2 linked regions of the Daphnia pulex genome follow. The protein of the gene in region 1 purifies or fractionates together with the protein of each later gene. This does not show direct contact. Links are inferred from orthologs where the notes say so. Each region holds a gene or a part of one and is shown on either strand. Other genes may lie near its edges.

Region 1 (2,638 bases):
AAACATTATATTTCACGTTATCCGTTTTCGAGAGCGTGAAGAGAGAATATTTTGTTTTTGTTGACGAAAAATAAATCGGTTGTTGTTTGATTTTCTTTGGGGCTTGCGAAGCCAGTGGGGTCCTTCGTCAAAGTTATCAATTTAGTTTTCATTTGACAAGCGTGCAGAATTAAATGTACCAATTTATAAGAAACATTCAGTTTTTAGATTTAGGACTTTAGGAGTATGTAGGGCCTGTAGGCTCCTATTTTTATTGATAGGTATTTAGGTTTACATTGTGCGGAGAGCCAATAGCGTGGTCAGATTTTGGCGGTAGTTTCCTCTCTTAAGCTCGAAAGCAAAAGCTCTAACCTATAATAAATGACGATTTGCAGCATGCATAACGACCATATGATAACTTATTTTATTGGGTAAACTATTTCTTTTAGATATTTAACACAAAATATTGTGTTCCCAAACTAAGTCTGAAGACCATTTTCATAATCAGACTTCAAATTCAACAAAAAGCACAATTGCAAGACCAATAATGTATTCGATTCAAGAATTTGAATTTGAAGTCGCTTTGACGAACCTTAAAAAAGCTTAGAATGTAATAAATTGAAGGAAAGAAATTAAAGTAGAATATAAATGTAAAATCTAAAAGATAAAGCGATTAAGCTACATAGAATATAGACATTCATTGGCGATTTCCCCAACGTTAGTACTCATAGCGAAGAACGTTTAATTCACTCCAAGTTCCAAACTCTGAAGTTGGCTAAAACCCTATTTATCTGCATGCACCACAACTGACGCTCTTCTTTCAAGTCAGCGGAAATCAGATGGCGCAGGGCTGTTTGATTGGGATAGCATGTCATAACCAACGAATCCTAGAAACAAAACAGAAAAAATGAAATCGAAAAGTTCTCTTAAACTTCAAAAAATAATAACTTGAATACTTTGTCCGTGTTCTCTACAGGTCTGACAGTGATGAGCAAAAATGTGTTTGGTCGAGCGCAAACGTCATTAGAAACTATATCGACGTGCTCCGTTATGCATTTCCTAAGATTGATGGAGTATTGGGGTTCCTATTGATACGCAACATTCCCGATGAAATATATAACCCAAGACATATGCGAAAATAATATAGTTCTTGAACAACCTTAAGTTTCTCATCGTCAGGGTATTTCCAGAAGAGCAATTGGTCGTTCGATAACAGACACCATCTCCTATGCCACGCCCCGAATCCACCAACATCTTCGAAAACGGTTAAAAAGCCACGTTCTTCGATCAGACTCTCAGTGTGGCTTTGGATTTTTAACTGGAGCGTTCCATCAATAGGAGAAGCAACTGGTACTTTCTCTAGTGACCACTCTCGCCTCCTCAAACTTGTTGGTGTAATGTTGGTCACTCCTACTAATCCAAAACTAGAACTACGTAGATTAGCCGTAGAAGATCCACCTGAAACTGACAGTGGTGTTCTCGGCATTCCACGACTATCCTGAAACGTGGAAAAGTAACTTGGTTATTAAACGTCTTTAGACGGGTATTAAATTCGAAAAACATTTCAAATAACAAATTTCTTTAAAATCTTTAACAGTGTGCATGCTTACTTGTTTCGAAAGTTTTTTTGGAGTTAACCGCATTTTGCTATTATCCTTGCGAATATGATATTTAGTTTCGTGATTCATCTTTTCTTTCCATGTTTGCAACGCATAAACTTCAATCACTACATCAAACTCTGCAGGAAGATTTCTCAGTTGCACCAAATTGGGGAAACGCAACACACCATCCTTTTAAAAGCAAAACTTAGCGAATGGAAAATATAAAAAAGAAAAAACAAAGTATTTTTAACCTGGATTCCGTCTACCGTTGACAGCATTTGCAACGGAATTACTTGGCCTCGGCTGCGTATTAGCACGATGAAATAATGTACAACATCACCTAAAAAAATATAATTGTCATTAGATAGAAGCACACTTTTATTAGATGAATGAGTTTATGTACCCCCGCCTTTCTTAAGCATCGATAAAAAATCTTTTTTAAGTGGAAGTCCAATATTGCTGAATGACAGAGTGCCGCGAGAAGCTAGTTTGTTTGAAATCACTTTCATGGCTGCTTCACTTTTTAACCTCTGAATTTCATTGATAGCTGCTTGCTTTTTCTGGCCTGAATAAAGTAATCAAATGAGTGAGGAAAACATTCGTTAAGCCGCTTATAACGATAACCTTACTGGAAATAAGAAGCAGTTTTTCTCCTTCGACTTGCTCAGTGGAACCAGAGAACTCGGCAGTGGCTCGACATAGATTTAAGGCTTGAGAGGCTTGAGCCATAACACTTTGTTGAGTAGAGATCTAAGTAAGAAGTCAAAATATAGGGTGCGAAAGTAAGAAATAGTTTTAGAGTATCTCATACCTCTTCTTGAAGGGTGCGAATTTGCTGTTGAACAGAAACTTCAAGTGATTCATTTGACTCATAGGTTTCATGCCGTGAAGCTACTTGACGAACTTCTGGGTTCCGTACAATCTGTTTCATTGGCGTAAACGTCTTTTCCTATGACAAAAACAATGAATCTTTACAAGTTAATAGTTGAAAAAATCATTAAAAAAAGATTTTACCTTTTGCTGGCGATAAGAACTAACGGAATGAAACAATGAAATGG
Region 2 (4,019 bases), on another chromosome or scaffold:
GTGCTTCCCACCCGCACCTGTCTGCTGTCCTTTTTTTTCTTAAAAAAATTCCCAAACAAACCATTCAGAGATATATTTATTTGTCGACTTTATAGCCATCGAGTGCGAGCACCGCTGGCGCTACTTGCGGGACCGGTACACGCGGGAGCGCAAGCGCAAGTCGCAGCAGACCAACGGCTGCAAATCGGGAGGCGGAGGCAACTGGCCGTTGGCTTCTCAAATGCATTTCATCCAGGATTTTATCAAACACCGCAGGTACAGTAGAGAGAGAGAGAGCACGACTTTTTCTCACACACGTTTTTCTTCGGTAGTTTTGTCTTAATAGTTTCTTTGACTCGGTTGGAAAGTCTCATGGCCTTTACGAGCAGTTGCCTGCGCTGTTTACTACTGATAAAACGAAAATAGACAAGTGACGATGTTTTTAAAGCTGGGAATCAATAGAATATTCATCGGCGATGATTCTTTTCCTTTCCTTTCCTGGGGGGGGGGAATTTTGTTTAGTTTCAAATTCAAGGCTCGCGGGGGCGGCGGTGGCGGCAGCAGCGGCGGCCAGCAGGAAGCGACGTCTGATGGTACAAACACGCCACGAGGTGCCCGCCAACAACACGTCAAGGTAACAAACGCCAGACTTTCCTCAATGATTGAAAGAGTGGCTGGCTTTATCATTCGAACGGACACACACACACACGATAATCCTATCTTTTCCTATCTCTGACAGTCTGAAGGTGATAATAATCATACGTCGTCGGATGAAACTGACGGGCCAGTTTCGCCGGGATTCGATCAGCAAAGTGCCGCAGCGGCCGAATGCTACCCCATGGTCATTATCGAGGAAACAGACGGGCACCATCACATAGGTCCACCTCGCTCAGGCACACCTTCAGATTACCTACGAGGAGGAGGAGGTGGAGCGGTTGATCACCACCACCATCACCACCGGTAAAAACAACCCAAAACTCAAAATTGAATTTAAAAAAAAAAAGAACTGCAGAGGCAGCACAAACCCTAAAAAAGAATCGGCTACCATATAAGGATTATTATTATTTTGTTGTTTTTCCCATTTTCTGATATTGAAGGTCGTCAGCGTTCAATAACGGCGGGAGCACAAGCCCTCGGATGACGTACAACGAAGATGAACTCTTCTGTCTCTCAGTGGCGCAGACACTGCGACGTCTGCCGCTAATGCGCCGATCTTTGGCCAAAGTTCAAATCCTTCAACTGATACACGATATGGAATTCGGGAGTCATTCCTAAACTGAAACACACATTTTCGGTGGGGGCAAAAGATTGAACGCCACTTGAAAAAAAAACTATTCCCCCCTCCTCGTCTCCTGTTCTTCTCTTTACTTTATGAATACATGTTTACATCTCAAGTGGTTAGTGTGTATCTGGCAACTCTGTGGGTCGTGATAAAAGGTGTGCGCATATAGCCAGTAGAAAAGAAAAAAGAATCGGAGCCAAGAATAGCGATGATGACTTTTCTCTCTCTCTCTCTCTCTGAACCCTTCGCCCCGTGGTATAACCGTGATTCCTTCCAGACATTCTTCACGGTCAACAAACACACACACACACCTCAAAGAAAAACCCCCCTTTCTACTGGGTACAACAATAACACCTGTGCAGGAAATCCGGACAAGATCCAGCCAGCCGCAACAGCAAGTAGTTAAGACAATAAAACACAATCAAATAAAAAGAGGCCTCCTTTTTCACAGTTCACCGAGACACTGGCGGAAAATGATAGTTCACTTTTGCACCACCAGAACAAGTCGGGATGAAAAAACCAAAAAAAGATAAGCAGCAGCAAACACAAACAATTTGGTAACGTCTAAAGTCTCTTTCGCTTGAGACTTGAAGTCGGAACGACCGTTCCGATTCAACTGACCGGCGGGATTGAGAGCGCGCGCCATAGTAGCACGCCGCCCGTTTTGACTAGTGGCGCCTCTAGCGGGACAAGATAAACCAACCCAGATTGCCGTTTTATAACACTCTCGCTTTGAATCTATCGACTTAAAAACCAAGAAAAATAAAACCAAAAAAAAGAGTGACACTCACCACTTTATGTCAGGAACCACGTGGGGGCGATGATGTCGATCGATTATTTAATTTAAAAAGAAAACAAAAACAAAAAAATAAAAAAAGATGAGTCTCTAGATCCACTTTCAATCAGGGCGTGTAACACTGTGACCAAGGATAGAGATTTTCAAATCAATTCAAATATGCACGCCAAAAGAAAGGGGAAAATGCTGGAATCCGGTTTCGAAACGAGCCGTCTCGAATATCCCCACCCTTCAAATACGCCCAGGTTTCGGCCAGTTGTATCGAAAAATGTTTTTAACAAAAATGGATCTGCCAGACTAAAAAGTGAAGGCTTTCAAGAAGGCCACTGACAAGTTGCACATGCCGTTTCCTTGGCTTTTTATTCTTTTGTCCAGCCATCCATTTTTCTTTTTCGTTACAACCGACTTGACTGTTTCCAAAAGACTACAGCACTCGACAGAAATAATTTGGCTGTGTGATTTCACAGAAAAATGGGGAAACAACAACTTACCGCTCTTCTGCATCGTTGTCACAGCAGACACACACACACCACTCGAGATGGGGGCAAAAACGGTTGCTTCTTCTTTTTTCTTCTTTCTCTCCTTGTAGTGGCAGTCACTGTTGCTTTTCAAAAACGGGAGTGGAGCTTGGAAACCCGCGTCAAGATTAGGAATTTTCGTCACAGCCAACTGCCAAACACACACACACCAGTTACTTTTTAGTTACACACAACGTGAAGGAACACTGGGCAAATGTGTATGTAAACGCTGTGGGGAATCAAGTGAGAGTTGGACGAGCGTCTGCGACCCAAACGCCATCTAACGGTGGAATTTCGTACTCTATTGTAAAAAAAAATGGGAACCCATTGTTCGGCGGAAAAATCTTGATTTTGACAATGATAAATGCCTCGGAACGAATTGGATGACGATGTTTCGTAAATTAGAAAGCTGATAGCCACAGAATCTTATTAGGGAAACAGAACGTGAATCCCCAACATTTTCATTACCGTCAATCACATTAGGCGTTTACGAGTTTTTCTTATTTCAAAGTGCAATAAGGTCATAATCTGGGTTGTGGTCAAATTTCCTTTCTTTCCCTTCGCTGCGAGCCTGAGGAGCGATAAGATTCCGGATGAAGAAAATCTGATAAGACTTTTTTCTCCGCACATGCTGTACACGTTACTTAACCCAAAGAAAAAGGTTTTTTAGAGACGGAGAAAAGTTATCTTGAAATCAAGCCAAAACTTTTAGGAAGAAAATTGTTCCTAGAGAAAAAAGTTCCCAAAGAACTTTGTCAGCAGTTAGCTCCCTTAAATAGGAAACGAAAGGGCTGCAATATTCAGGAGAAAACGTCCGAGTGAATTAATTATTACGACATTTTCATGTCAATAATGTCGTGTTTTCATAGCTTAAAATGAATGAGCTTGCGTCACGCACGAGAAAATACTCGAAAAATATAGGAAAGTCTAAATAAGGAAGGCTGCATGGCCATATTCTACCCATATTTTGGTTCTTATGGACAATGGTCTCTGTGATCAGACCTTCCCGACCATGAAACAATAAAACTCATTTTCAGCTTTTAAAAATTCGTTTTTGAGATGAAATTTCATTGAACAATGTGCTTTAATATAATTAAAAGCATTTTATTATCTATTCTTTTTCCTACTGATCCGCACAAACGAATTAAAAGTAAAAGAATCACGAAAATCGGACTTGCGACGACGAATCGAATTGGAGGAAGATGATATAAGCAGACTAGATTGACTATTGTTTCATTACATGTGCTCTTATTGTTCCATCAACCATGGGTTCTAATAGAAATATCAGCAACCACTTTTTCGCAGCTGTGAGCATTGGCTCAGAACTTGAATTGCGTGAAATACTGGAGGCGGAAGGACGGGAAATTACGATCGATGCAGCCCAATCGTACAATGAACAGGGGGAAACTCCGCTACTGGTGGCCATCCGCCGCAAACACATCGG

What was found. Proteins that work in one complex are often made in the same cells at the same time.
Region 2: the proteins of anillin-like (region 1) and septin-7-like purify together in Drosophila melanogaster (affinity purification with western blotting; 3 studies listed by BioGRID, with this or other methods). This does not show direct contact. The link is inferred for Daphnia pulex from reciprocal best matches to the Drosophila melanogaster genes scra and pnut.

Annotation. Positions count from the first base shown.
Region 1 is NC_060019.1:5,223,583-5,226,220, forward strand, and holds the end of anillin-like, read right to left. Parts: coding exon 2,595-2,638; intron 2,530-2,594; coding exon 2,392-2,529; intron 2,331-2,391; coding exon 2,210-2,330; intron 2,146-2,209; coding exon 1,984-2,145; intron 1,921-1,983; coding exon 1,832-1,920; intron 1,770-1,831; coding exon 1,590-1,769; intron 1,478-1,589; coding exon 1,139-1,477; intron 1,065-1,138; coding exon 936-1,064; intron 867-935; coding exon 726-866; 3' UTR 513-725; downstream 1-512. UniProt on the Drosophila melanogaster protein: Required for cytokinesis. Essential for the structural integrity of the cleavage furrow and for completion of cleavage furrow ingression and proper formation of the midbody.
Region 2 is NC_060017.1:3,484,941-3,488,959, reverse strand, and holds the start of septin-7-like, read right to left. Parts: upstream 2,812-4,019; 5' UTR 2,549-2,811; intron 2,055-2,548; 5' UTR 2,053-2,054; intron 1,909-2,052; exon of another isoform or gene 1,616-1,908; intron 1,374-1,615; exon of another isoform or gene 1,255-1,373; coding exon of another isoform or gene 1,077-1,254; intron 940-1,076; coding exon of another isoform or gene 719-939; intron 614-718; coding exon of another isoform or gene 502-613; intron 256-501; coding exon of another isoform or gene 96-255; intron 1-95. Other genes in the region: transcription factor Adf-1-like, read left to right, coding at 96-255, 502-613, 719-939, 1,077-1,254; protein fem-1 homolog A-A-like, read left to right, coding at 3,841-4,019. UniProt on the Drosophila melanogaster protein: Involved in cytokinesis and possibly cellularization. Also acts as an enhancer of the sina gene, thus having a role in photoreceptor development. May be involved in p53-dependent apoptosis.